Linked DNA regions of Mus musculus. The protein of the gene in region 2 interacts with the protein of the main gene of each other region in a biochemical or structural test. Links are inferred from orthologs where the notes say so. Each region holds a gene or a part of one and is shown on either strand. Other genes may lie near its edges.

Region 1 (3,952 bases), on a different chromosome or scaffold from region 2:
CATGTGGGAAAAGGGACAGAAGTATTGATGGGAAGTCCACTGAAGAAAAACAAGCAGCAAAACAGACAGTGGAGAGAAAAGGGAAGAGGGAAATGGGGTAGGGTGGATACAGAGGATCCAGGTAGGGAAGCTGGTGGCTCAGACCAGGGATACAGGGAGAGAAGCCTGGCTTAGAACTCAGGGAAAACAGGATTTTACACAAGCCATGGCGCTAAATTCAGGCCCCATCCTGTGCAGGGCTCAGAGATGTGGGTGACAAGTTGCCCCACTCAGTAGTCTGCCTAGCTTCCTGGCACCAGTCCCTGAGCCCCTGCGTGTAGACAAGCCAGACCTGAAGCCTTTCCTCTGGGGAGCTAGTGTTTACAAAAGCCTCAGTGCACAAAAAGGAAGGAAAACAATCAGGGAAGAGGGAGGGGCAGGGAACTGATGGAAAACTTTGTACAATTCACACCAGATTACTTAAACACACACACACACACACACACACACACACACACACACACACACACACACACACACACAGACACTGCCATTTAAAGGAAAGTGAGTGCTGGAAAAATAACCCTACGGACAGAAAATACTCTCCTCGACACTCCTCCCACCAAACAGTGAGAGCTGATTACTTTTAGGCAATTACAGAAGAGGAAGAGCAGAATTTGTTGGGGGAGGTGGAATTATTATGGAAGCAAAAAGAATACAATCCCCATTGCTGAAAACACGAGGAACCCGTTTTGATCAGCTGGGGGGATGAGTGGCAGAGATGTTCAGGTAGGGGGGTGAACGGCTCTGTCAGTGTCTGTCAGGAGACATGGGAGAAATAACATCGGCGAGGGCATCCTGGAGGAGGCAGCAGGCAACCTGGGTTTTGGCGCTGTGCAGAGACGACGTCCGGGCATGCCCGGTGTAGCGCGCTTCCTCTGCCCAGGTCCAAGGCCCTCTCCCGCCTGCCTCCCACAGCACGGGAGTCCGGTGCTTGTTCCCAATAATGACGTCAGTGAGCGATGACCTCAGCGCCTGGGAGGCGCGGGCGAGCTGGCGGGCGGGGCGGAGAGGGGCGGGCGCAGGCGGAGGGGAGAGGCGAGACACCGGAGGGGCACGCCCCCATCCGCCAGCGTCGGCCAATGGGCGCCACCGACGGCTCCCCGCCTCCCCGAGTGGTATGAAAGGCGCAGCCCGGGGAAAGTCCGGGCAGAGCCCGAGAGGTGGCCAGACCGTCATCATCGTTCTAATACAGCTACTTCCTCAGCCACCGGTATGAGCCACGGGAAGAGAACCGACATGCTCCCGGAGATCGCCGCCGCCGTGGGTTTCCTCTCCAGTCTCCTGAGGACTCGGGGCTGCGTGAGCGAGCAGAGACTCAAGGTTTTCAGTAGGGCGCTCCAGGACGCACTGACCGGTGAGCACACGTCGGGGTCTTGGAACCACTCGGGCGCGGCCACTTCTTGCCTGGGGTGTCTTTATCACTGTTCTGTGACGGGGACCCCTACGCGAACAACTCCGGGTCTCAGATGTCTTTCTCTAATTAATCTCTGAGGCCACTGATGGTCCTCTGTCCCTTCGGTTAAGTCCCCGTCTCCCAGCCCTCCAGTCCCCGCCTCGCTCCCGAGGCTCCGACCCTCTTCCTTGAGTACATTCTGAGACCCTGACAACACCATGAGAAAAGTCAGTGTGTGTGTGTATTCAGAGTCCGAGCTCACCCTTATCTCCGAATCTTGGAGAACAACAGACCCTCAGGGGATGTGAAGCCAGGCCAAGCTGTGCGACTTTTATGCGCAATTGAACTTTCTAGACAACTCTTGAGTCCTAGCCACTGTTGCTGTATAGTCCTGAGCCTGTCATCATACAGGCCCATTCTGCCGCGTGTTTACCCGCTGCAAGTTGTAATCTGGGCCCCCTTTGTATTTTTTCTTTTTTGGTCCCTCTTCACCATCTGCCACCTATTGTAGTACAGAAAAGAGCCTGGTAGCCTAGCCAACTGCGAGGGCGGGGAGGGGGTGTGTGTGTTATGGAGGCAGGGTGTGAGGGACGGAGGTGGAGGAGTGATAAGCCACCCTTTAGCCTCTGTCCGCAGCTGTTATAACTGGTTGGTTGCCTTGGGCTGCGATAGCCATCTCTCAACATGTTGGCACAGATCTGAGGACCAACAGCTGTTTCATCAAAACAAAACCATTTTTTATCCCCTTACCTTTGCTAAAGATCTCAAAACTCTTCTGATGCGGAAGGGATGAGAGGCCTTGTGACTTGTTGGGCAACCAACAACATTGGCCGCTTACCTACCGGCTTTGAAATTTCAGTGCCTTGGTCGTCAGAGGCCCTGCCGGTTCTTGCTAGCCCTTCCTGCCTTAAACAGGATTGTGCCAAAAATATCCATGACCACCATAGAGCATCTACCTGAAAGCTCTGGGGCTGCTTTCCAGTGTACAAAAACTTGGAAAGGACCCAGGAATCTTTCTAAGTGGCAGGGGGAGTTTAAGGAGAGGCTCTTAAATACTGTCGCTGAGAAGAGGAAGTCTCCTCCCCAGCCCTCTCCCCTCATCCTCCCCTTGTGGTAAACATCAGAGAATGCTTTCTAACGGCGCATCTTCCTCTTGTTTTTTTCCACAGATCATTACAAACACCACTGGTTTCCAGAAAAACCATCCAAAGGTTCTGGCTATCGCTGTATCCGTATCAACCACAAGATGGACCCCATCATCAGCAAGGTGGCCAGCCAGATTGGACTCAGCCAGCCCCAGCTGCACCGGCTGCTGCCCAGTGAGCTGACCCTGTGGGTTGATCCCTATGAAGTGTCTTACCGCATCGGGGAGGATGGCTCCATCTGTGTCCTGTATGAGGAGGCCCCGGTGGCTGCCTCCTATGGGCTCCTCACCTGCAAGAACCAGATGATGCTGGGCAGGAGCAGCCCCTCGAAGAACTATGTGATGGCCGTCTCCAGCTAGATAGGAGCCACCCGACCCTGGCACTCTACTGTTCTCATGCTGCCCTGACAACAGGCCACCGTATACCTCAACCTGGGGAACTGTATTTTTAAAATGAAGAGCTATTTATACATGTTTTTTTTTTTTTTTTTTAAGAAAAGAGGAAAAAAACCAAAAGATTTTTTTTAAAAAAAAAAGAAAAAGAAAAACAATTCTTTAAAGGGAGCTGCTTGGAAGTGGCCTCCCCAGGTGCCTTTGGAGAGAACTGTTCTTGATTGCATCTGTGAGCCAGTGTTTGCCTAGGGGAATGGGTTGGGGATTGGCCTAGCCAAGGTAAAAGGGGATTCTTGGCTGATCCCCCCAGGAGGTGGTGGAAGGGAGCAAGGTTAGCAACTGTGAATGAGAGGGGTCAGGGTCTGCTCTGGGTTACCGTCCCAGCTGGGATGCCTGTATGCCTGGTCCCTCTCTTACTCAGGGGCATTCAAGCCTGATCTTAAATAATACTACATTGCCTAATCTTCTCTTTTGTTTTTCGGCTGAGATCAGGGGCAGACTGAAAGGCCTCTCCTGTCCCTTCTGTTCTAAGCAGTCTCTTGAAGCCGTGTCTCGTTTCTGAGTCTACCCTTGGGGGCCTGAAGAGCTTGCTTCCCAGCCCGGAATCTGTCTAAACATTTTTTGGAGGGTGGGATGTAAGGCAGGCGCGCAAAGACTTTGGGGCTAAGATGGAGAGGACCTGCACAAAACCTTTGCTTTGCTCTGTGCTGCTTTGTATGGGTGGATAGTGAATAATTTAGGGATGATTTGCAATGGAATTTTGGGACCCAAAGAGTATCCAATGGGGGTAGGTCTTTTGGACCCAGTCCTTCCTTTTGGGAACCACACGACAGTCTGAATGCTGCTACCACTATTCCTTTGAGAGGTGGCTCAAAGCTCCAGGGAACTCCAAGTCCTTTCTTACTGCCTTCTCTTCAAGAGCAACCTTCCCCATTTTTTCTTTCCCCTTTCCTGCGGTTGGGTCCTGGAGGGCCCTATTT
Region 2 (3,500 bases):
TACTTACTGCTTCACTTACTGAATAGAAAAATGTATTTCACCTGAGCACTGCTAGGGGAGGAAACAAACCCAGACCTGGAGAATGTTAAACTTGGGCTCGCAGCAGAGCTACTCCTAGACCCGCAGACAGAACCTGAAACTGTTGCTGTGCTACCCTTGTGCTTTAGGACGGACCTGGTGTTTTAACCTTTTATCCCCAGTGCTGGGGGACAGAGGCAGGCAGATCTCTGGGTTTGTGGCCAGCCTGGTCTACATAGCAAGTTCCAGGACTACATAGTGAGACAGTTTGAAAAGAGAGACAGGGTGCCTGCCCTTGGACCAGAGTCCTCTGTGGGTGTCTGGAACCATCTGGGCCAGCCCTCCCCGTGACTGGCATGCCATTCCTGTGGGTGCAGTGGTGACCATCATCAAGGGCAAGGTGGAGGAGGTGGAGCTGCCCGTGGAGAAGGTGGACATCATCATCAGCGAGTGGATGGGTTACTGCCTCTTCTACGAGTCCATGCTCAACACCGTGCTGCACGCTCGGGACAAGTGGCTGGTGAGCCATACGCCTTGGATGGGCGCCCCAGGCTAAGGAGTTAGAGCAGCAAATAGGGTGCCACCAAGTGTTTCTGTGGATGAGGCCTTCCCAGGGAGAAGGGACCAAAGGAATGGCAGAGGAACTGACTTGAAGAAGGCCAGTGCAGAGTCCTTACGCCAGGAGAGCGCGTACTGGGGGGAAGGGGAAGGGATCAGGAGGATACTGTACAAAATGGAGGTGTCTCCTTCTGGGGTGTTTCCATGCTCCTAGGAATTATGGAACTGCCAGGGCTCTGGGTGCACTGTGGCTGTTGAGTAGGGACCAGACTAAAGGATGAGGCCTGGGTGGCTAAGGGGTCTCTGGAAAGTGATGGTGGGCTGGACAATTGGACCACTCAGCTAGGTCCTTGCTTTTACCCAACTCCCTTCAGGCACCCGATGGCCTCATCTTCCCAGACCGGGCCACCTTGTATGTGACAGCCATTGAGGACCGACAATATAAAGACTACAAGATCCACTGTGAGCTGGGGTTGTAGTGGGTGGTGAGGGCAGGATGGGTGGCGAGGGCAGGGCCTGGATTCCACAGCTCATCTGACCCTGTCTGTACCCAGGGTGGGAGAACGTGTATGGCTTTGATATGTCCTGCATTAAAGACGTGGCCATCAAGGAGCCCCTGGTGGACGTGGTGGACCCAAAGCAGCTGGTCACCAATGCCTGCCTCATAAAGGTAACTGGGCAGCAATAGCAGGGGTCCCAGTCCCTGACCAGTCCATTAGAACTGTAGGGAGAGCAGTTGGGCCACACATCAGAGTTTTCAGGGCCATGCCCTGTGCTGAGAGATGGCTTCAATTCCCAGCAACCACATGGTGGCTCACAAGCATCTGTAATGGGATCTGGTGCCCTCTTCTGGTGTGTGTGAAGACAGCTACAGTGTACTCATACATGAAATAAATATGTTTTTTTTTTTTTAAAAGGAAAAATGTTTTGAGGGCCAGCCCAGGATACATGAGACCCCGTTTCAGAAGGCGGGGGGGCTGTTTTACTGTGATGGGAAGGGGCCTAACAGGCAGCAGTTCTCGTGCAGGGTGGGCTCTGAGCACTGACTGGGCTCACCCATTTGGCAGGAGGTGGACATCTACACAGTCAAGGTGGAGGACCTGACCTTCACCTCCCCCTTCTGCCTGCAAGTGAAGAGGAACGACTACGTGCACGCGCTGGTGGCTTACTTCAACATCGAGTTCACCCGATGCCACAAGAGGACCGGCTTCTCCACCAGTGAGCGCTGTGTGGGGCTGGGCGGGGGCCGAGATCATCAGTGAGGTTTCTGTGTGATGAGCAGCGTCGGGCATGCCTGAGGCTTATCACAGCCATAGAGCTACTCGGGAACAGGGCAGAAAGCTCTAAAGTTGAAGAAAGTTAGTGGTAACCCTCAAAAAGGAAGAGTTGAAATGGGGCCATAGAGAGCCTTGAGTCACTCTGGGAGGGTGGGGCATGGCCCAGTGGTCGGGTGCCTATGGTATTCTGGTTCTGGGTTCTACCACTAGTCCTGTTAAGAACAAGGGGGAGTGCTGGACACTGAAGAACTGTTCCACCAGGCTCTGCTGTCAGTCATTGAGTGACTGAGTCTGATCCCTGTGTAACTCAGGAAACACAGGCAAGATGCAGGATCACTAGCCCTCAAAGCCTTGCTGGTGGTGACCTTGTGGGGGGTGCAATGGCAGGTTTAGCATGGCGACACCCAGGCAAAGTCTGGAACTGACCATGCCCACCTTTCAGGTCCTGAGTCCCCGTACACACACTGGAAGCAGACTGTGTTCTACATGGAGGACTACCTAACAGTGAAGACTGGCGAGGAGATCTTTGGCACCATTGGAATGAGGCCCAATGCCAAAAACAATGTGAGGCCTGATGGAGAGTAAACATGATACGGAGGGTGTGCAGAAAAGTCAGGTTCTGGGTAGAGTTGAACAGTGCCAGCTTGGGTAGCATAGCGGGTACCCGAGGAAGCCCCATGTGGCTGCTGGGTTCAGTGATAACCTTGTTCAGCACCCTTCCTGTGGGCACTGAAATCACCTGGCTCCTGTTACAGGTTAGAGTGGCAAGTGCCAGAGCGCAGTGTGATGCTAGGAACACCTAACCCTGGCCCTCTTGATCCATGGGTGGAGGGGGCTTCAGGATGCTTGCAGGGGCCCTGAAGTGGTGCTGGCACTCCAGCGCTGCTGGTGCTGGTTCCCTCGGTGGCAGAAACTTAGACTGTGGCTGGGGAGCATGGGGTGCATATGGCCGATAGTGCTGTCAGTAGGTCAGGGTGCAGGGTGTGCAGTGTGCTGGCTGGCAGACGTTGCCAACACTCTTGCCTGGCCCTTGGCTGATGGCTCTGTCTCCCACCTGAGCTCTGTTTCCCTCTTTTCCCTGCAGCGTGACTTGGACTTTACCATCGACCTGGACTTCAAGGGTCAGCTGTGTGAGCTCTCTTGTTCCACCGACTACCGGATGCGCTGAGGAGGTGCCAGGCTGGCCCTCCTGCAGAAGGGGGCTCGGGGGGATGGGCTTGGGGGATGGGGGGGTACATCGTGACTGTGTTTTTCATAACTTATGTTTTTATATGGTTGCGTTTATGCCAATAAATCCTCAGCTGACCATGCCACTTCTCGCCCTGGGGCTGGGGTAGTTCTACTGTTTTGCCTATCACTCCCTGAGGACTGTCCATTTCTGCTCTAGGGATGTGGACCTCAAGCTAGGTAGGATTCCTGGCTCCATCATGGCTGGATTCCCAGACCTTCCTGAGATTCTTTTGTTGTTTTGGTTTTGGTTTTGGTTTTTCAAGACAGGGTTTCTCTGTGTAGCCCTGGCTGCCCTGGAACTCACTGTAGACCAGGCTGGCCTGGAACCTGGAACTCAGAAATCTGCCTGCCTCTGCCTCCCAAGTGCTGGGATTAAAGGCGTGCGCCACCACGCCCAGCTCTTCCTGAGATTCTTTG
Region 3 (4,300 bases), on a different chromosome or scaffold from region 2:
TGCTAGGACTGCAGTTTGTCAGAGACCTAATATAAGATGCTTCTTAGTTTGTTTTTGGGGGACAGGGTGGCCTGTCCTAGGTGGCCTGTAGCTGTGCTGTGTATGTAGGCCAGACTTGTCTCAAACATGAGGTAATTCTGTGGCTTTTCCTCCTCAGCGCTAGGATGCATAACCACCTCATCCCCTTAGTATGGCTGGACATGAAGGCCTCTATGTGCAAGTAGAGGTCAGAAAACTTGGGAGAGCTGGTTCTCTCCTATTTTGGGCCTGGGGCTAGAACTCAGGTTGATAATAGTCCCCTCCACCCCCAACGAAATAAGCTAATTCAAGAATAATTTTTTTTAAAAAGGCATATCTATTTGGAAATGGGTTCCCGGGTGAGTCCACCAGCCTCAGAGGTCGGGGGCAGAGTATGGCTGGTACTTTTTTGATAGATTGTAGGCGAAGAAAATGACAAGTCTACCACAAGCTGGGCTTGTGCCCAGGTATGGTCATCTAGGGTGGGGCTTGGGTGGCTGGTGACTAAAGATGAGGATTAGTACAGTCAGGAATTCAGGACTGGATTTTTTGGCGCCTTTTTGTGTTCTGAGGCTTTCTGAGTAGGCGGGGTTGGAAGGAGAGAGAGAGAGAAAATTTGGAATTTACCGGGGATGAGTGGGTGGGGAACAAGCCAACAAGCCGGGGACTCCAAAAACAGGTGATAAGCAGCATTACCAGTTGACCCGACCCCAAATGCATCTTTTAATAATTCTCTCACTAGTTTTGAACCTGCTCTAATGGAAATCTTGCCGACTGACTTCCTGGATGCCCTACTTGGGTATGGAGGGAGCCCTTTTCTTCCGGTCTTTGCGTCTCTGACTGACCCCTTCGACTCCTTCTGAGTTTCAGTTCTGCAACACACAGCATTCCCCATTCCTGGCTTCCCTTTCGCACACTCATCACTTATCTCTGGGTCAGCCTCCTCCCTCCCACCACGCCCGCCCGCATCCCCATCTTCCCATCCCGTTCGCTCGCGCAGTCTTTCCCTCTCTTCCGGCTTCACTTGGCTCTAACCCTCGCGTCCCCCTCTCTCCAGAAGCGTTCTTTTCATTTCCCGGTTGGAGGGGCGGCCCCCGATTCCACTCCGGGGCACCGCTCCCTCGGGGACCTCCCCAGGCTCGGCCGTTGAAGGAGGCGTGGCGCACGAATAACAGGTCTCCTGCCGCACACTCCGCGGGCCCGAGCGCAGACAAAGACATTCCACGGCGCCCGCCCCCTCCGCGCACTCCGCCCGGGGGAGGGGGAGGGGAGACACGTGTACCGCTAGCGCCGGGTCACGTGGAAAAGAAAAAGAAATGAAGGAAGGCGGCGGGCGCCCGCGCAGGCGCCCTAAGCTCGGAGCCCAAGCGGGGAGGCGACGTCTTCAGTCGGCGCAGGCGCCGTGGTCCAACTGGGGACTTTGTTCTCCGCGGAGAAACTCAAGGGCGGTGCCGGTAGGCGCCTGCGCACGCGCGCCGCCTCATTTCCGGTGCTCTCTCGCTGGGTCGCTCGGGTCGGCTTCGGTCGCTGTCGCTCCTGTTCTTCCACCCCCGCCAACCGCCGCTCGGGCCTCAGCTGCCGCCGCGTCGCTTCCTCGCTCGTTCGCTCGCCACCCATCATCCCCGATGCAGCGCCGGGACGATCCTGCCTCGCGCCTCACCCGGTCCTCGGGCCGCAGCTGCTCCAAGGACCCGTCAGGTGCCCACCCCTCGGTGCGTCTGACCCCGTCTCGGCCGTCGCCGCTTCCTCACCGGCCCCGGGGAGGGGGAGGTGGGCCCAGAGGAGGCGCTCGGGCCTCGCCCGCCACCCAGCCGCCGCCGCTGCTGCCTCCCTCCACCCCTGGTCCCGACGCGACGGTGGTGGGTTCCGCGCCGACCCCGCTGCTGCCCCCGTCAGCCACAGCCGCGGTCAAGATGGAGCCGGAGAATAAGTACCTGCCTGAACTCATGGCCGAGAAGGACTCGCTCGACCCGTCCTTCACTCACGCCATGCAGCTGCTGTCCGTAGGTAAGCGGTTCTTGGCGGGTCCTCTGGGTCTCCCGGTCCTGACTGTGGGTGGCCGCCGCTTTGTTCTTGCTCCCACCCCCTCGGAGCCCGGGCATCGAGAGTTGTCATCTCGACCTGGCCTTCGAGATTCTGCACCCACAGTCCCACCCGGGCTCAGGGTGTAAGGGAAGATTTCTGAGCCACGGACGAGGCCCGAAGAGGACTCGCGATCTCAGAGCGCGGAGAGCTTGATGGATAGTACCGTGCTCCCGCCCCCTTCTCCTCCCGTAGTAGTTGCCCCGCGCGCCAAGGGCCGGCTCTTAACAGAAATGAACCTATTTCTCCCCGCTTTCCCAAAGAGGAAACATTTGGGGGGGGGAATCGCGGGTGATGGAGACCTGGGGTGTAAGGTAGAGATAGCCGGAATGCCGGTCCCGCACAGCGCATCTACGGAGCGGGGCGGGATTTAGCGGGAACTCGGGTTTAAGTTCATTAGAGGTCGGGGCGACGAGAGAATCCGTGAGCTTGAGGTTTTCTCAAGCCAAGCTTTCCATTTCGGCCTGTCGAGTAAGAATTGCTGCAGACCCGGATGGTTTCTCTGTTTTATTTTGAAATGTGTTTCTGAAGTTATGCAAAAGTGTGTGTGTGTGTGGGGGGGGGGTTGTGATAGCCCAGGAGACCGTAGAAAGAAATGATAGAGGGAGGTAAGGGGCGGCAGGCAGGTTCTTTTGCGTGAGATGAACGAGAAATTGGTCTTTTTGTTTTAGTTTTTGCTGGAGTAGAGATAGTTTAAGAATGGTAGTCTTTGTTCTCTGATTGTAGACTATGGAGCTCTCTTCTCCGGACTTGAGCGACTTAGATATTTTTCCTTATTCAAACCGCCGCCTGTTGTTAGACATGGTTTTAGTATTTTTTATGATATCGAATTTTTTTTTTTTTTTGATTTTGGTTTTTCGATACAGGGTTTCTGTATAGCCCTGGCTGTCTTGGAACTCACTTTGTAGACCAGGCTGGCCTCGAACTCAGAAATTCGCCTGCCTCTGCCTCCCGAGTGCTGGGATTAAAGGCGTGCGCCACCACTGCCCGGCTGATATCTAATTTTTATTAAGCATCTAATACCCACAGTCTGTCCTACTGGTTGAATAGTTGGACTGTTGAGGGGCTGATGGAACCTTGTCACCAGACAAAAACTGGGAAGGTTGAGCGGATTCAGAAACCCTACTCTGAACCTGGAACACTTGACCAAGACACCCCATGAGTCAGTCACACGGGGTGTTAAACCCCCCCCCCAACACCTGAAGGCCCTCCCTCCACATGCAGATGTAGCATCCCTAACTTCTCCGACCAAGCCAATAGAAAGCATCTGCTTTTAGATCCCACCCCACCCCAAAATGTATATTAGACCCTAGCCACAAGGAATAAAGGTTATTTCATCAAAGACTGCCTGAGAGCTTCAGAATTCTCCCCCCTCTCCTTTGGAGAGCAATGCTCCAGAGCCCCCAGATCTCCTCTGATAGCGTCCAGTACACAGAGCATTGCACTCTGGCCAGAACGATATCGTGGACAGTTCATTGTGAAAGAGCACTATCTAATGGAGAGACAAATCAGCCTTTAAGAGCACTGTCTGCTCTTCCACAGGGGTTCAGTTCCCAGCACCCACATCAGAAGGCTTTCAGACACCTGTAACTTCAGTACTGGGGGATCCTGTTTTTGTTTTCTTTGGTGGTTTTTTTTTTTTTTTTTTTTTTTTTTTGGTTTCTCTGTATAGCCCTGGCTGTCCTGGAACTCACTTTGTAGACCAGGCTGGCCTCGAACTCAGAAATCCGCCTGCCTCTGCCTCCCAAGTGCTGGGATTAAAGGCGTGCACCACCACGCCCGGCTGTTTTCTTTGTTTTTTTTTGTTGTTGTTGTTTTTTCGAGACAGGGTTTCTCTGTATAGACCTGGCTGTCCTGGAACTCATTTTGTTGACCAGGCTGGCCTCTGCCTCCCAAGTGCTGTGATTAAAGGCATGCACCACCACCACCGGCCTGATGTTATCTTATGTCCTACACAGGTACTCAAAATACAAAGCTGAAAAGAAATAAAAGGAATATACCATTTTCCCTTCATCTGCTCTCTGTTTCCCAGCATTGTTGAAGGGGATTTACCGTTTGTATAATGCAAAAAGGTCACGGATCTACAATGACTTAAAGACCTGCTTTTCTTTCCAGTCAAATATGAAAACAGCAAATAAGGGCCTTTGAAGCACAGTAAACAAAACCTGTGGTCAGTGAATAGAAACATCAACTCTGTGCA
Region 4 (4,154 bases), about 17 Mb from region 2:
AAAAACCAGTGCTGGATGCTAGGGTGATTTGTCACCCTGGCAACCATCCAGCCCTTCCCTGGCACTTGGCTGCCTTGAATGACTACCATCCAAGCAAACCCCTCTTGGCAGCCAGCTGGTCTACTGTCATGGCAGCCTGGCAGCTCTTGAATGCTCCACAGACACCTCCAGGAAGCTATACTGCATGGACCACCACTTAATGCTAAAAGACAACTCCTGCTCTAGGAGGCACTATCCTGGCCCTGACTATCCCCAAGAGTTTAACATGGACTTTTTGCCATCAGAAGCCTCTATAATCCTTGGCAGCCACTTCACCAAGGCCAGAGGGAAACCATTTCCCCTGGTAACCCAACAAAAAGTCAGCGGTTAGTGCAAATGATCTTTCAGTTGCACGGAAGGCTGTAAGTTCTGGCTATTAGGACGCTTCTTCTGGAGACCGGTCGCTCCTGTGCTGCCTCCTGGTGGTGCAACATTAACACTGGGCCTTCTGCAACAGTTGTTGCTCGACTGATGTGATCTTTATCAGTAGGGTGGGCTGAATTCATGACCTGAAGAGGAGGAACAGAGGCAGAAACAACTGCAAACCAGCAGTGGCCTGGGAGCAGCTGCGACAACATTTGGGTGAGTGAAGATTTCCAGTAAGAGGCCAGGGGTAGAGAGCAGAAGCAGTGAGATGCCTGTTCTTCGCTGTAAAGGAGGGAGCTCTTTGAGCGGAAAAGGAAAAGGAAGGAGAAATAGAAAAGCGAAGTGTACCATAGGAGATCCCGAGTTCCAGCTCAGCCTGGACCCCACTGCAAAACCCTGTCATAAAATACAAACCTCAACAACAAACAGAAACATAAGGCTGTGCTGGAGAGATAGCTCAGCTGTGAAGAGAACATAATGCTCTTGATGAAGACTCAGGTTCGGGTCTCAGCACCTATTTGGCGGCTCACAATTAATTGCCGGTAACTCTAGTTCCAGGGGATCTGACGCCTTCTCCTGACTTCCATGGCGTATGCGTGGTGCACAGACAGACGAATATGCAAGCTAAACACTTCTAAGGATAAAATTTTAAAAATTTAAAGTCTTTGAAAAATAATAAATTTTTAAAAATCGGTATAACCCCTGATTCCTGGAGTGCTAGCATAAGTGAGAGGAAAAGTCGCAGCGCACTTGTGATAAAATTTGCCACTCTAGGAAAAAGTGAGGAGCGTAGAGACACGACAGAGCCGGAAAAGGATTCAGAACTCCCACCCAAGGGGCCGACTCCGACTTCCGGGAGACGGGACGCGCGTCTAAGGGGCGTGGTTACGCGCTTCCGTCACTCGCCGTGCGTCACCGCGCGCAGGCGCTCCTTTCCACGTGCGAAAGCCTGAGACTCGTGGAGTCGGGGACGCCGCAGGTTGCCTGAATCGCGCGACCAGAACGCAGTAATGAAGCCAGGTAAGGACCACGGTGCGGGCAGGAGTCGGGGGCTCTAGGCGCGGCGGGCGGGGACCGCGGCCGCTCGGGGCCGGGGGATGTGGCCGTGAGCTCGGCTCACCGGCCGGCCTACAAGCTTGCCGCCTCAGAGCGGCCGGTGCGGCCCTCCAGACCCTGACCCAGAGTTGGGGCTTGGATCTCCGAGCATTGCTTTAGGGGATCCGACTTGGGTCGCAGATGAAAGGGCCCCTGTCTCCACCCCAAGCCTTCCCTGTTGCCGCCGTCACCCACTGTCACTCCCTGTCAACGATACCTTGGTCCCCAACCCAGCTTCCCCCCGGGTAAATGAGGATCTCCGGCTCCGTGGTGTGCGGCGCTCGCGTGCACAGGCTGGCGCTCGCCGCGCTTCCGGGAGGGGCGGGACCCAAGGCTTGTAGGAGTAGAGGCTCTGGGGACCTGGGAGTCCCTGCTCTGTAGTGAGAGCGACTTTACTAGCCCGGCTATTAGCGGGGTAGGTGATTGGAATTGAGAGGGGTTGGTTTAGGTTTGGATTTTGAGAGCGTCTTGTCACGTGATCCTAGCTGGCCGAGATCCACCAGCCTTTACCTCCAGAGTACGGGGATTAAAGGCGTGCGCCACCACGGCTGGCCTGACAAATGTATCCATCTCACCTATTTCCCGCGTTTTTTTCTGATGAGCCCACTGTATGGTGGATGATGGCGAGAGTTCTGGCTTTGACAATAGAAAGTTCTCGTTTCTCTCTTGAGTTCTTAATGGATAAGTGGTTTTCTTGGTGATAGGTTACTCTGGGCTGTCAATCCTAGCACTCGGAAAGCGGAGACAGTTAGATAATGAGTTTGTAACACCAGTCTGTTCTACATTAGTCGTGATAGCATGAGCTTTTCCTGTTGCCGAAGGATCAGTTTTCACCACTGCAGGTTTTTGTCTGGCGTGGACACACATGTTCCTGTGGACAGATGGAGAGTAAGTCACTGCAGGCGATAGTGACCCATCTCTCCCTCCCAGACATGTTGAATATCTATCTGGGGCTCTGTTCTGGATGTCTGGGGAAGTAAGGTGGAGGGATTGCTAGTCTGGATGTTCTCCTGGCATCCTGTGATTTGTGCTTTCCCCTCAACCTTTCTCCATCACACGATAGAATGAGAATTGTTGAACAGTCGAATCTTCTGTGACAGTTTGTGTCTTGAATACGAAGCAGCTTTGGGGGAGATTGTTTTAAACAGAGGTGTGCTACAAAGTATGGTGGACGATTCTCAACAAGGTCCTTTATTTTCATGTTTGTGTATTGAAATGGCATCTTATTGTAATAGCCTAGGCTAGCCTCAGACTCGGCTTCCCAAGTGGCTGGGTTGCAGGCATGTGATTGCAGCAGTTGCTGGAGTTGCTAGTTTGGAGGTGGGGAGACTTGTAGAGAAAAGCAGATTCTAAAACAGCAGACTGTGTGTGAACATAAAAGTCTTGTTGAGTAGTGAGTCCTTTCGGTTCATTTTCCTCAAAACCCCAGGACCAGAAATGGATCCTGATAACACATTGAGTATTATGTGTCTGAGTTGACCCTGCTATCTACCGGTCGCCATGAGGATGCCAACAGCTTGCCAGATCTCTGTTCTGTCAGGCCCAGGGTTGGAGCTAGTGGCTCTTCTCCTCAGTACTCTTGTGTATACAGTTCCTTGATTTTTCTATCATTCCCATAGACCTTTGCTACTTTAGGGTCTTGAGTAACAGTAGCATAGCCATCCTCCCATATGAGCTACAGGACACCATTCTCTTCTGAATGAAAACAAGTGGTTTCTCTGAGGCAGAATCCAGGGCTGTGGATATGGCTCAGCTGATAAAGTGCTTCCTGGCATTCGGGAGACAATAGCTTTATTCTCCTGTGCTACCTAGGGATAGGTGTGGTGGTGAACATCCATCTTCCTGCCTTCGAGGTGGGGGGGGTCAAAAATTCAGATTGATCAACCATTGCAGCTGGAGACCCTGTCTCAAGGTCATCGGCAGACGTTTGCTGACTGATTGTTGGTGTCAGCATTGGATTGTGCTGAGATGCTGTAACCAGAATAATTACAAAGCCTTTTGTGCATTTGGAACTTGTGGGTGCCAGTGAGACTGACAGTTAAATGTAACGTGACAAGAAGTGGGCTGAGTCTGTACCACTTAGTCAGACACCCAAGTGCGGGAGTGCTGTGCCTGCCTGCGGGAGCTGGGAAGAGGGGCAGCTCGCATGAGATTTCAAAGCCTGCCATTTGCAGATGGGGGACAGCCTGGGTTGATGAATCTCAATTTAGGCTATACATTAAGGTCCTGCAGGGAACTCAAAAAGGAAAAAAAATGCCCTTCTCAGGGAATCGTGGTCAAGAAAAGAATTCTGATTTTGTTGTGGATAGTGAGGTAGGGAGGGTAGAGATGGGGCTTGGGGGTGTCTGAGAGTTTTGAAGCTGAAACTTAACTTAGAACTGGGCGTGGTGGCACACGCCTTTAATCCCAGCACTTGGGAGGCAGAGGCAGGCGGATTTCTGAGTTCTAGGCCAGCGTGGTCTACAGAGTGAGTTCCAGGACAGCTAGGGCTACACAGAGAAACCCTGTCTTTAAAAACCCAAAACAAACAAACAATCAAAAACTTAGTTTGAAATAGATACCAAGTTGCACAGGGTTTTTTGTTTGTTTTTGAATTCTGGGGAGTTGAACTCAGGGCCTGGCCTATTAGAGCTGCAGTGCCCCCCCCCCTCAAG
Region 5 (4,130 bases), on a different chromosome or scaffold from region 2:
CATCATGCTTAAACTAAAGCAACATGAAATATTTAGTAATTTTAGTTGAAGATGAGACATTTTACAGCTGAATTGGTTTAAATCTTAAGGTACATGTTGTGGAGCAGCAGTGAGCAGGAAGTTATTGCTTAGACTGTGGAATGAAAGGAAGCATATGAATAAAAGTCTTCTTTTAAAGTCCGAGAAAAATCTCCTTGTGCCAAAGAACAGGTTTACCTTGCATTCTAGTGACCTACCTTGGGGGCATTGTGTCCTACAGGAACATGAGGTCCCCTTCTAGATTTCATTGCAAAGCGCATGATTTGTCTCTTCACAAAAATAAACAGCAGTACGAATACCTGCCCAAAGAGATTAGAGCCATTTTAGTAATAGCAATAATTTTTTAAAATGTTCACTTTCAAAATCCCTGGGTTTAGGCCTTCAGAGCTGGATGCTTTGGGGCGAAGCCGGGTCGCTAAGGACGGAGGTGGGTCAGGGGCTAGTAACGGAGAGGCATGTTAATCTGGGCTCTAGAATTTAAGAGGGAGGGTTCTTACTTAGAGCCAGGCAGCTTTGACTTAAAGATCTCAGACTGTCTACGGATACAATTCGGAAGTCCAGAAACAAAACAAGTTAAGTGGCTGAAGAACAAAGACAGAACGGCTCAGGAGCCTTCTTTTCAGGAGTCCGGCTCAGAGGGTCGGGACTCAGACAAATGCCACAAGAGGAAGAGAATGGGGATCTCACCAGGCTCCCGTACGCCATCACCAGCACGACATTCACTCCAGAAAGCCAGTTACTACTAGACGCCATCGCCTCTCTCTCCGGGAACACCTGCTAGGACAGTCCCGCCGCGCTCGCGCGTTAGCCCAGGCTCTGCCGAAGCCAGGGAACCTAGGTTCCCTGGAGCTCTCCGAACATTTCCATATGGTTTTCGATTAAAAAAAAAAAAAAAAAAAAAACCAGGCTAGAGTCCGTCAGAAAACATGGTGGATGGGGGCGCTAGTTAAGCATCGGACCTTCCCGTCCCATTTCCCCACCCCCACCCCCTCCGCCACGTGACTTATGTCCGCAAAGGTACCTGGGAGTGCGGAGACGCGGAACTACGCCAGTAAGAGGAAGCCGAGACCTTACTGGAGTCACGTGATGGAGGCGGATCCGTGCGGGGCGGGGCGGGGGCGGGGCGGGCGCGCGGAACTCAAGAGCAGTGTTTCGTGGCGGGGAGGCGCGCGCACGCTGACGTGCGCGGCCCTTTCGCGTCACGTGCTGAGGGACGCAGGAAGGCAAGTGGGAGGGGGAAGGCGCGAGAGCGAGCGCGAGAGGGAAAAGGAGGGAGGGGGTGGGGAGGAGGGAATCTTATATCACGTGACAGGGGCGGCGCGGCCCGGGGTGTCAGTGTGGAGGAGACTGAGGTAAAGTTGGGAGCGCAGCGGCGTTGGCGGCGGCGGCGGCGGCAGCGGCAACGCGGCGGGGCCGGGTATTGTCCGCGGCCCCTTTAAATCCGCGATCCCCTTTTTACCCTCCCTTCTTTTCCTCTGTCCCCTCCGTATTCCTGTCCCGCGGTAGGCCCCCCCCACGCCGTGTGTCTCCCCACTGTACACCCTCCCTTCTGGTCTTGGGAACCCGGGCGTCCAACCTCCCCACCTCGAATTGGCCGCCGGGGGTTTTGTTTATAGTTGGGTTCGCGGCCTACTGGGCCGCGCCAGAGCCGGGGCCTCGATTTGGGAGCGTGGCCGGGGCGGGGCTTGGGGCAGCCGGAGGGGGGGGGCATGTGGCTAGAGCCTGAAGGGGGAGAGCGAGAAAGAGCGCGGGCGAGCGAGGCCTGGGCCCAGCCTGAGGTAGGGTTGTTTAGGAGGGTCAGTGTCTTGTGGAGAAGGCCTCCTCCCTCCCCAGTCCTCTCTGGGCCTCTGATCCGGATCCGGCCTGGTTTTGGGGGCGGAGGGGGGGTGGCGATGGGGTGGAGCTGCCCCAAACTCCCCCATGTGGCCCTCGGTTTGGAGTGCGGAGGATTAATTTGTTCCGGGTGGGAGGTAGAGAAGCGAATGGCCCCATGGGCTCTAGATGTGGCGCGGAGGGGGGTGAGTCTCCCATCCTCCGCGCGTGGGCTTCTGTCCTCTCTGTTCATTTCCAGCCTCTTTGTCAGCTCCTCTTATTACCCTGCCTTCTTTCTTACCGACCCTGGTCGTGGAATATATTTTCGCTGCAGTCTTTGACTTCCTGTTGTCTATACTGTAGTTTTGGCTACCCAAGCAGTTATCTTATTTGGGAAGCTGGACATGGAGGCCCCCGTGGATTGTGTTGCGCCTAAGGGATGTCACTAGACTGGGCATTTGTTCATTTTTCTCATAATGGGAATGGAATTCCAAATTTCTTGAGACCCTTCACCTGGTGGACAGCCCCTAAATTGTTTTGCAAAGTGATGTCACAAACAAGAGACTGTTTTCCACGATTCTTAAAATTTAGCAACCTCTGGTGTAGGTTGTTGTGGAAAGAAAAAACAGTTAAAGGCGATTTTGTTAAATTTGTTTTTGCCTTTGACTCACTGACTACTAAATGGAGAGATTATTTTTTGTCTCCACCTCCCATATTCTGCGTTGGGGATATCTGCTGTGTCTTGCTGGGAGGGGGGTATGAGTCAGTTTGACAACCAGCATTAGAGATTAAAATATTTGGATGTGTATCTGTTGATAAGACTGTGTTGTGGGTCCTATACCACTGTCTTTAATTATAGATCATCCCAGTGATTGTTTCTGTTGTGAATGGGAGATACTGCTGTCATGTAAAATAGTGAGGAAGGGCTAAATGTACTGGCTTTCCCCAGTGTTTCTAACTGGGAAGACTCCTATTAGATTGAAGGTGGTTGGGGAATGGGACACAGGTCTAGGAAAATTAGTTTCTCTGTTAGAAGTGGTAAGCCTTACCCATCCCAGTCCAACTTCAGAATGTCTGAATTGTTTCTCACATTAGATTGTAAGCTCCCTGAGAGCAGCAACTAAGTCACACTGCTTTTGTATTTCCTGAAGGATTGGACAAGTAGTAGATTCTCAATAAATACTTATTGTTTATTTTTTTCAGTAAAATTTCTCTGGCTATTTTTTTAAGTAGCTGGCTTTCAAAATGTAGTCAAGGGCACTTCTTTGTTGAAACCTGTACTTGTTCTGTAGTGTTCCCTTGGTTTCCAATACTTCTTTCTCATCCCACTTCCCTTAAGTACTTAGGTTTTCTATGAGTTCACAAAACAAGGCCACTCACTTTCACTGTATAACTCTAGGTATTCATCTTTGTTTGCTACTAAAATGTACTAATTCTGTGCCCTTAAGTGGTTTGCCCAGATTATTTACTTTTGACCTGTTGCTCATTGTTACTAATGAGGGGGTTAAATTTTTCTTAGTTACACATTTCAAAGTATTTCCAAAGAGGGAAATGGAAGTTAAAAGCAAGACTGATTAAAAAGATTTTTTTTTCTGGCTAGTTACATATCTTTCAATATGACTATATTTACATCTAACTTGTAAAATGTGCAGTGATCTATACAACTAATCTTACAGCTTATATTTATGGTATAATTCTTAAAAATTCATATACATGGAATAGAAACCATATAGCATTTTTAAACCACAGGAACAGGAGTAGGTTGGGATTGACTATCTTATAGCTAATTTTAAAACATAATTTTTCCTCTAGCTCTTCTCCCCCAACTATTGCTGTTTTGGATCCACCAGTACTTAGTTAAACAACACTTGTATTTTTGTAAATTAAGTATTGAAACAACTATAATGTTAGCTTGGGAAAGTGACCTAATACTATACTATTTACAGGTCTTTGTACATGTATGTTGGGGAAGAGGTACTGGTTAAAAATTAGTGCTGTGCCTGTTAAAACCTAAATTGGCGATGAGGAATGAAGTAGAAGTCTTTGTTCTTAATAACCACATCAAAAACAAAGACTTGTGCAACCTATTGACACTCCTTGGTGAAAAGCCAGCTTTTTTTCTGTGTTATCCAAGAAATGGGTGAAGTTCATGTCTCCACTTAATCCTTGCATATTTCTTTAGAACTCTCCTGACCTCAAAATTCAGTGTCTGCTGGGCAGTCTAGAATTACCTTGTATAACGTTTCGTTAGTGAACAAAAAAATGTAGAGCAGGAAAGT
Region 6 (4,248 bases), about 83 Mb from region 2:
CTCCAGAAGAGGGTGACCCCTCTCCTCTTCTGGATCTCGTTATGGATGGTTGTGAGCCACCATGTGGTTGCTGGGATTTGAACTCAGGACCTTCGGAAGAGCAGTCAGTGCTCTTAATCGCTGAGCCCTCTCTCCAACCCGTCATTTTTGTTCTTATCCACTTGGTAAACTCCCAGTAGAAATGTCATTCCCTCAGACCCATCCTAACCTACTCATTGCAAAATGAATTACCTGATCTCTGTGATCCCAGAGTCCCTGGTATTGGAATTACAGTTGGTTGTTTGCCCACATTCGGGTACTAGGAATTGAACCTGTGGTTTCTCTAGAGCAGCTGTCTCTCCAACCCCCTTGAATTTCGTTTTGTCCTTGAACTGACAAAAAGTGTTCATGCCTTTAAATGCTTTCAATCATTTCCTGTAACCAAGAAGCATTTTGTAGTTCCCCAGGCTTAGACTTTAAAGATCAGAAGGTCTGACCCTGAACTGCCTCGTACCTCATTCACATTCTTAGTCTAGCCGCTCACTGCTCTCATAAGATCCATCTCCCCTCCACCTCTGCCTAGCTCCGGGACTGGAGAGGTAGGCAGGGTCATGCACAGGCTAAACGATCGCTCTATCATTAAGCTACATTCCTCAGATTTCTTTACAAGATGATGATGGGGGAAAACCAGGACGACTGTAATTCCAGGATGCACAGGGCTAAGGCAAATAGGATCAAGGATTCGAGATCAACTGAGCGGTACTGAGAGGCCAAATTAAAAAAAAAAAGGGGGGGGGTAATTGTGGGTTTGAAGCCTCTTAAGTTGTATACATATGTGTTATTGTTGAACCAGCCTTAGGGCCATAGGGTCCAGACTAAAGCTCATCTTCTTCCAGGTTAAACGTCACAATCTATAAACCTTGTTAAGGTCTAAAGAACAGCAAGCCGAGGCATTCCTAAGTGAAAAACGAGACTGATCAGTGTGCTGTCTGTCAGGAGAGAATGTGGAGGACCAGAGCGACACTGCGTTCGACTCAGTTGCTAGGCCAGGGCAAGCGAAAGTATGCTGCATCTTCCCCAGTGAAAGTGGGGCCCAGCCGCTGGGCCGGTCGGAAGGATTTCGGTTCCCACACCCGGAGACTCCAGGCCTTGACTACACAGTTCCGCTCTCGGGCGCAGGGCCCTGGCACCGCCCCTAGCGGGAGGCCGGGTCGTACCATTCTGCCTCTAGTGGGGTAGAGGTGTGTCGAAGGCGAGCCCCGGGCGACGGACGAGAGCCACCGGCCGCAAGGAGAAAGCGCGTGCGAGTGTTTGGGAATAAAGCGAGTTCGTTTTCCCTCTTGTCTTCCTGAGCTCTCCGTATCCCCGGGGAAGGGTGGGGACCTGGGCGTGCCTCCCCCTCGCGCTTCTCCACTTGGTACGTCCCGGTGGCGCGTAGGCGGCAGGCGTACTTAAGGCGGGCGCGGGAGGCGGGGCCGCTCAGTCCTCGCGGCATCGCTTCGCGGTCGTCTGGAACTTTGTTGCTTGGCGGCCTGCGCTGCGCGCGTGCGCGGACATGGCTTCAAACGGTATGTGGGAGCGCGAGGCGGCGACGGCGCGTCCCTGCGAGGCCTCGTTCCCTCGCAGCAAGGCTTTTGGCTTTCGGCTGGGCCTGCGGTGGCGGGCGAGTGGGCTCCCCCACCTCTGGCGGGAAGCAGCGGGTGGAGGGAAGGGGAGGGCGGTGTCGCCATTTTGTTTGGCTCCCCTGGCGCCTTTGGCGCGGAGACCGTGGGTTTTCTCTCCTGGCCCGGTCACTTGAGTCGAGTGTTGAGAGAGACGCTGCCTGGCGACGTGGGGTGACCGGGGTGAGGGAGCTCTGGGTCTCCGCAGCTTCGCCCCACCCCCTCCCCTCCCTCCGTTCCCGGCCTCGCTTTGTCGCAGTGCTGCATCCGGGCACTTGGTGCGCGCACGCGCTCCTCTGGCCCCTCCCCCTTCTCGCCGCGGCCCCCCTCCCCCCCGCCAGGAGTTGGTCCGTTTTTTTTACTTTTTTCTTTTTTTCTTTCTTCTTCTTTCTTTCTTTCTTTCTTCTTCTTTTTTTTTTTTTTTTTTTTTTTTTTGTCGCGAGACCCTCGGCGGAAGACTTGTGGTCCGGTGCTGGCCTCGCCCTGCTCGCTGGGTCCCTTGGGAAGGGGCGGGGCCACCTCTTCCCGCCTCCGTGGCCGCGCAGCGGGAGCGGAAGCTCCTGGCTGGCCTGCGTGTCCGTGGGATTGGGAGGACCGCCAGGGGATGACCAACGGAGTCAGGGACCCCGGCCTGAGTTTCCCACTTCAGAGTTGAGTTTTCCTAAGGCCGGAAGGAAATCAGAGGAGTCGCTCTCCGAGGCCACACCCTCTCGCTGTCAGTTTTGTCCCAGTGCGGGGGTAGAGCTTGGGTTTCCTGCAGGGAGCTGCTGAGCTACAGCTTCCCAGATTGTTGAAAGTGCTGTCTGCTTTGGGTGCGCATGGTAGGCGGGAGCTCAGTTATTTGGAGCCACACGTCGGGAACCTTGGGAGCACCATGCCATTTGGGGGTTGGAGAGTCCCATTCTTCTAGCTGCTTCCTTGGGCTTGAACTCAACTGTGTAATAGCGCTGACTGTCAAAGTTAATCTTGACATCCGGTGATACCACCTTTCCTGTATACAGAGCTGCTGTGAAGATATAAAATGTGGTGACGTGTGTTGCAGGCCTTGGAAAGACCTGCAACAAGTCAAAAGGATTTTTAAACTTAAGGGATGATCTGTATTTTGAGTTTTTTTTTTTTTTTTTTTTTTTTTTTAAAGATTGAGCCAGGTTTGGTGGCACACACCTTTAGTTTCAGGACTAAGAGGTAGAAGTAGGCAGATCTATGTGAGTTCGAGGTGGTCTACATATTGAATTCTGGGATAGATACATAATCGAGACTTCTGTCTCAAAAAAGAAAAAAGGCAAAAAGGACATGATGTTGGATTTTTTTTTTTTGTTGTTGTTGTTTTTTTTCGAGACAGGGTTTCTCTGTGTAGCCCTGGCTGTCCTGAAACTCACTCTGTAGATCAGGCTGACCTCGAACTCAGAAATCCATCTGCCTCTGCCTCCCAAGTGCTGGGATTAAAGGCGTGCGCCACCACGCCCGGTCCGATGTGGGGCATCTTTAATCCCAGCATTTGGGAGGCAGAGGCAGATGGAGCTTTGTATGTATTAAATTGGAGGCCATCCCGGTCTACAGAGTGAGTTCTATGCAGAGAAACCCTGCCTCTAGATAGAGAACCAGTCCACCCACAGAGCTCTGTGGCTGTCATGCTTAGTGGTCGCTTGTTTAGTGGGTCCCAAGCAAGCCCTGGGTTCTACCCAGAACAAAAGTCTAAGACTTATTGGTGTCTAGAAATTTGTGCTTTCTTTGCTTTTTGTAATAAAACTTGGCCATTTTGTCTCATGAGGAACTAACTTATGCCTGTTTTTGTAGATTTGTTTCATCTGGAGTGCCTAGTACAAAAGTTGAAGAATTTATTTCTATTCTTAACTAAAATTAAGACCTTTTTCTTTCCCATCTTTTACAGACTATACCCAACAAGCAACTCAAAGGTGAGTATACTGTTTCTGGTCTGATGCTAGAAGACAGCAAGGGTGATTGATCTAACTTGAGTTTTATGTATTTCTGTATGCTTTTGTTCTTATTCTTTTAGTTGAAGATTACTGGTCTGTTTTCTTGTAGCTACGGGGCCTATCCTACCCAGCCTGGGCAGGGCTACTCCCAACAGAGCAGTCAGCCCTATGGCCAACAGAGTTACAGTGGTTATGGCCAGTCAGCTGACACTTCAGGATACGGCCAGAGCAGCTATGGTTCTTCTTATGGACAGACCCAAAACAGTGAGTTCTTAGTAGAACACATCTTCATTTCTTTATGAATGTTAACTTTTCTTAAACCTGAACAATACCGAAATTCCCACATTTTCCCTAAAGTTTTGTAGTCATTCTTTTAAAACAAAAATACTGATTTGTAATTGATTTTATATTGGACTATTTTCTTCCTGCTTACTATTTTTGTGAAAAAGCAAGTTTGCTAAAGAGAGAACCAGTTTAGAATGACGGATAGGAAGGAAATGGTCTGCTTGGGAATTCTTGAAGTTGGCTGACAATCTGTGATTCACAGAGGTGGTGCCATTTTTACCTCACAAGGGCAAAACATTTTTCTTTCCATATCAGCACATTTAAAATGTAGTTAGGGCCAGGAGTGGTGGCACACACAACTTTATCCAGCACTCTGGGAGGCAGAG
Region 7 (3,968 bases), on a different chromosome or scaffold from region 2:
ATTTGGACTGCTTCTTCCTCCCGGCTATTGTGAATAGCACCTCTGAGAATAATACGAGTTTTCATCTGAATACCTATTTCCAATTTTGGCTAGAAAAATACAGGCTCTAATCTTTAATTCAAAGAAAGAAGTGGCCACCTATCTTAAAATCTCTAGCCATCTGACAATTTACTGAGAACCCCTGAGGTCCCTGAATGGCAAGCCCAGGAAATTACAATTTGAGACAAAAATCACTTTTGATTTCTTTGCACAGAGAAGTTGGACAACAGTAAAACTCAGACCTTTTTTAACACCTGTATTTAATTATTCCTTTCACATGTTCTATGAAGTAAAACATATGTTCTATGAAGTAAAACTGCTTGTGATAGGGAGGGAACCAGCAGGCAGGGATGGCATCATGGAGAAGGGCAATGTGGAGACAGTTTTGAACAAAGTGTAATGACATAAACATGTATATATACACACACATATAAACACACAAACATACCATAAGAACCATTACTTTGAATGCTAACTTACAAAATTAATTTTCAGGAGAGTGATGGCTCAGAGAGCAAAGGCACTCGCCAGCAAGCATGACATCTAATTTGGAGTTTCATTCCCCAGAAGCCAGGCCTTAACTGAATGTCTCAAAAGAAAAACAACCGCTATCTAAACCTCACCCTGTCCGCTCCCGCACTCATCACAACATCACAGTGGGTCTGGGGTTGTTTCTTTGCACTTGAATGGGTTGTTTTGGTCTCTTGTTCCTGTCACACCTCTTGAAACGCAAGTCTCTCCAGGCTTCTTGAATGGGTCAGCACCCAGCTGAGGACGCTGCCTCTCCTCTAGGCACTTTCCCTCAGTTTACAGCTCTCCCCCAGACACGCAAGCCCTTAAAGGCTCTTGACTAGGTCATTTTGGTGAAGTGTGGCGGTGTGCAACCAGGCTCCCCACTGGCGCACACCGGCGAGAGAAGGCTTGCAGCCTCCCTGAGTTTCTGGTGGTAGCTCCGCCCAAGCCCCATACCACCACGCCCACAGGCTATAGAGTGGGAGGGGATAAAGTGGGGCGTGACGTCACAGACACCGGTCTCCCATTGGGTCTTCGTGCGCCCCGGGGCCGAAGGGCGTGTCCACCAGCGCTCATTGGCTGGGGCGCGCAGGCCGGGAGGAGCCGACCGCGGGGCCGAGAGTGCGGCGGCGGCGGCGGCGGCGGCGGCAGCAGCAGCAGCAGCATGGGTCCTCGCCCGCGGCTTCGCTGAACCTCACTGGCCTGGGCTGCCCGCGGCGCCCGCAGCGGCGGCGTCATGAAGGGGGCCCTGGGGAGCCCTGTAGCCGCCGCGGGCGCCGCGATGCAGGAGACGTTCGGCTGCGTCGTGGCCAACCGCTTCCATCAGCTGCTGGACGACGAGTCGGACCCGTTCGACATCCTGCGGGAGGCCGAGCACCGGCGCCAGCAGCAGCTGCAGCGCAAGCGTCGCGATGAGGCGGCGGCGGCGGCCAGCGGGGCCGGGCACCGTGGCGGCAGGAGCCCGGCTGTGGCCTCAGGACACAGGCCTGGCGCAGGCGGCCGCAGGGAGTCGCAGAAGGAGCGCAAGAGCCTCGCGGCGTCCGGCGCACAGCAGCCAGACAGCCCTGGGGGCCCGCAGCCGCCAGGTACGCCGTGGGCACCGAGGTCACCCCTGCAGCCGCTAGCTCCAGTCGCGGGGACCGATCCCGGACGCGTGGGCGGATCAGAGCTGGGAGTCCTTATGGGCGCAGGACCCGGGGTCATCCTTTCAGGGGCCACCCTTGAAGATAATAATCCTCTCGGGGTCACGTTTCCAGGGATCACTCTAGGGAGCCACTTTTGAGGGATCATGACCCTCCAGGGCCATCCTCCTGGGTGGTCATTTTCCCTGGTCACCCTATCTCAGTGGAAGGGTCAGGGTTTCACTCTCGGTGGGCTCATCCCAGATGGGGGACAGTGAGCAGAGCCGTGAATCTTGGTGGACAGAGGGCCTTTGGTCATTCTCCCTGGGTCCCAATCCACGAGGGGTTGGGAATCACCCTCTCTCCGGGGCTGGGGGTCGTCCCTATCCATCCGTTACGGGTGGGCCGAGCTGGAGGTTCTTGATGGGCAAAAAGGCATAGTATGACTCTTCCGGGGTCACCCTCCTGACATTCCTGGTTTCGTGGAGGAGCTGGGACTGACAGCCTGAGAGTTGCGCAGCTGGGATTCTCACATCTGCAGCTGGCTGCATCCTTCATCTTCCCTCCCGGCCTCTGCGGGACTCAGCTCTGTAGGCGATGCACTGCTGAAACCTTCAGGGATCCCAGATTCTGGGCCTCGAAATCCTGGGAGGCCTGGGTACCCTTACGTGTGGGAGCCCCCGGAAGGCAGACTTGAGCCCAGGGTGAGTTGGGGTGGGCTTGAGGTTCCGGCTCCTCTGCGCCTTAGCTCTTTTCTCCATCCTCATATGGTAGCCTCTAGGTGTTAGCTGACATCGATTGCAGGTGGAACAAATAGTGTATGTGGGACTTGTTATTTGTGATTGATTGAATACTGTTTTTTCTAGAAGCGGCTTTAGCCTTTGCAAGCGGAATGCTCAAAGTTACCCTTTCTGCTTAATCAGAAGGGGTCAGCCCTCCGCTGGGTGTACTGTCTGCGTGGGAGGCTGCTTCAGACTTCGTGGCTGTCACCTGAGCTGCGTCAAGGCTTTTGCAGCCAAGCTCTCACCAAATGAACGCCCGGTTTTCCCGTATTAAGTTTATATCCCTAAGATTGGCAAGAAGGGGTATTGAGATTAGAGGGTAGTTTGACCACGAGGTAGGCAGATGTTCATGTGGGCATTATTGCCTAGTTCTTACTTGAGAAAACTGTCCGTTCCACCTCTGGCTTCACATTTGAGGCTTTCGCTGGTACAGCTAGGTAATGTTTACCTTTATCTGTGAAGTTAATTTGAGACATTGGTTGAGATTCAGAAAATCATTAATGAAGATGGATACCTCAGTAAATTTAGGACTCCTTTTAAAATGGAAATGCACCATACAGTATATTTTGTATTGAGTTTCTCTTAAGTGTATTTAGGAAAATGGGAAGGGAAGGAATTGAGAAAGATCAAATAAAATTTTTTTACTATTTACTTTTTTTTTTTTAACCAAGTGAAGATATACTAGCCTTTGGAAGTGTACCAGTTACTACTGTTAGAGTGTTGTTGGTTTGTTTGATTGGTTGTTTTGTTTTGTTTTGTTTTTGAGAAAGGCTTTCTCTGTGCTGTTCTGGGACTTTGTAGACCAATCTTTCCCCTAACCCACAGAGATATTCCTAGATTTGTCTTCCAAATGCTGAGATTAAAGGTGTGCACCGAAATGTTACTTTTTAGCCTTGTTAAAATAAAAATATTTTTTGTTATAATGAACCCAGGGTTTTATTTATTTTGCGCAAGTGATCTTCTATGAGCTTGAACCCCCAGGTCTTGTTACTGAAATTTCCAGCAATCTCAAAAAAACCGAATGAAGTTAGCAGAAGGGCCCTTTATTTTTCTTATGATTAACGCTATGCATTTATATACATATATTTATGTAATGACAGCACAGTGTGGGGCTGGGGAGATAGATCAATCAGAAAACGTTTGTCTTGAAAACGTGAGGATCTGAGATTCTTGCCTGAATCCACGAGCCCCAGTTCCAGAGAGAGACACTGTCTCAGAAAGTAAGGTGGGCTGTTCAGAGGTGAACACTCAGGGTTTCCCTCTGGCTTCTGGACTCAAAGGCACACTTGCACATGTATACATGCATGTACACAGCTACAGTGCTCTCTCTCTCTCTCTCTCTCTCTCTCTCTCTTTCTTTCTTTCTTTCTTTCTTTCTTTCTTTCTTTCTTTCTTTCTTTCTTTCGCAACATACTCTACTTGGTATTGTAAGCTACTATACTTCGAACTTTTGAGACCAAGTTGATGTTAGAATTTTGTAACAAGATTTCTTTTTTCAAATGTACATGAATTT

Evidence for each region.
Region 1: the proteins of Prmt1 (region 2) and Btg2 form a complex in vitro, tested with the Homo sapiens proteins (2 studies listed by BioGRID). The link is inferred for Mus musculus from reciprocal best matches to the Homo sapiens genes PRMT1 and BTG2.
Region 3: of the proteins of Prmt1 (region 2) and Khdrbs1, one has a biochemical effect on the other in vitro, tested with the Homo sapiens proteins (2 studies listed by BioGRID). The link is inferred for Mus musculus from reciprocal best matches to the Homo sapiens genes PRMT1 and KHDRBS1.
Region 4: of the proteins of Prmt1 (region 2) and Fbl, one has a biochemical effect on the other in vitro, tested with the Homo sapiens proteins (2 studies listed by BioGRID). The link is inferred for Mus musculus from reciprocal best matches to the Homo sapiens genes PRMT1 and FBL.
Region 5: of the proteins of Prmt1 (region 2) and Ubap2l, one has a biochemical effect on the other in vitro, tested with the Homo sapiens proteins (2 studies listed by BioGRID, with this or other methods). The link is inferred for Mus musculus from reciprocal best matches to the Homo sapiens genes PRMT1 and UBAP2L.
Region 6: of the proteins of Prmt1 (region 2) and Fus, one has a biochemical effect on the other in vitro, tested with the Homo sapiens proteins (3 studies listed by BioGRID). The link is inferred for Mus musculus from reciprocal best matches to the Homo sapiens genes PRMT1 and FUS.
Region 7: the proteins of Prmt1 (region 2) and Habp4 form a complex in vitro, tested with the Homo sapiens proteins (2 studies listed by BioGRID, with this or other methods). The link is inferred for Mus musculus from reciprocal best matches to the Homo sapiens genes PRMT1 and HABP4.

Annotation. Positions count from the first base shown.
Region 1 is NC_000067.6:134,076,356-134,080,307, reverse strand, and holds the start of Btg2 (protein BTG2), read left to right. Parts: upstream 1-1,152; 5' UTR 1,153-1,254; coding exon 1,255-1,396; intron 1,397-2,604; coding exon 2,605-2,939; 3' UTR 2,940-3,952. UniProt on the Homo sapiens protein: Anti-proliferative protein; the function is mediated by association with deadenylase subunits of the CCR4-NOT complex. Activates mRNA deadenylation in a CNOT6 and CNOT7-dependent manner. In vitro can inhibit deadenylase activity of CNOT7 and CNOT8.
Region 2 is NC_000073.6:44,976,421-44,979,920, reverse strand, and holds the end of Prmt1 (protein arginine N-methyltransferase 1), read left to right. Parts: intron 1-395; coding exon 396-538; intron 539-950; coding exon 951-1,038; intron 1,039-1,130; coding exon 1,131-1,246; intron 1,247-1,643; coding exon 1,644-1,794; intron 1,795-2,295; coding exon 2,296-2,417; intron 2,418-2,937; coding exon 2,938-3,021; 3' UTR 3,022-3,166; downstream 3,167-3,500. UniProt on the Homo sapiens protein: Arginine methyltransferase that methylates (mono and asymmetric dimethylation) the guanidino nitrogens of arginyl residues present in proteins such as ESR1, histone H2, H3 and H4, FMR1, ILF3, HNRNPA1, HNRNPD, NFATC2IP, SUPT5H, TAF15, EWS, HABP4, SERBP1, RBM15, FOXO1, CHTOP, MAP3K5/ASK1, MICU1 and NPRL2.
Region 3 is NC_000070.6:129,739,504-129,743,803, reverse strand, and holds the start of Khdrbs1 (KH domain-containing, RNA-binding, signal transduction-associated protein 1), read left to right. Parts: upstream 1-1,500; 5' UTR 1,501-1,643; coding exon 1,644-2,025; intron 2,026-4,300. UniProt on the Homo sapiens protein: Recruited and tyrosine phosphorylated by several receptor systems, for example the T-cell, leptin and insulin receptors. Once phosphorylated, functions as an adapter protein in signal transduction cascades by binding to SH2 and SH3 domain-containing proteins.
Region 4 is NC_000073.6:28,168,394-28,172,547, forward strand, and holds the start of Fbl (rRNA 2'-O-methyltransferase fibrillarin), read left to right. Parts: upstream 1-1,354; 5' UTR 1,355-1,415; coding exon 1,416-1,425; intron 1,426-4,154.
Region 5 is NC_000069.6:90,049,716-90,053,845, reverse strand, and holds the start of Ubap2l (ubiquitin-associated protein 2-like), read left to right. Parts: upstream 1-1,330; 5' UTR 1,331-1,391; exon of another isoform or gene 1,392-1,817; intron 1,818-2,152; exon of another isoform or gene 2,153-2,210; intron 2,211-4,130. Other genes in the region: 4933434E20Rik (protein C1orf43 homolog), read right to left, coding at 237-338, 727-792. UniProt on the Homo sapiens protein: Recruits the ubiquitination machinery to RNA polymerase II for polyubiquitination, removal and degradation, when the transcription-coupled nucleotide excision repair (TC-NER) machinery fails to resolve DNA damage.
Region 6 is NC_000073.6:127,966,031-127,970,278, forward strand, and holds the start of Fus (RNA-binding protein FUS), read left to right. Parts: upstream 1-1,448; 5' UTR 1,449-1,534; coding exon 1,535-1,547; intron 1,548-3,531; coding exon 3,532-3,556; intron 3,557-3,686; coding exon 3,687-3,841; intron 3,842-4,248. UniProt on the Homo sapiens protein: DNA/RNA-binding protein that plays a role in various cellular processes such as transcription regulation, RNA splicing, RNA transport, DNA repair and damage response. Binds to ssRNA containing the consensus sequence 5'-AGGUAA-3'.
Region 7 is NC_000079.6:64,160,698-64,164,665, forward strand, and holds the start of Habp4 (intracellular hyaluronan-binding protein 4), read left to right. Parts: upstream 1-1,168; 5' UTR 1,169-1,288; coding exon 1,289-1,637; intron 1,638-3,968. UniProt on the Homo sapiens protein: Ribosome-binding protein that promotes ribosome hibernation, a process during which ribosomes are stabilized in an inactive state and preserved from proteasomal degradation.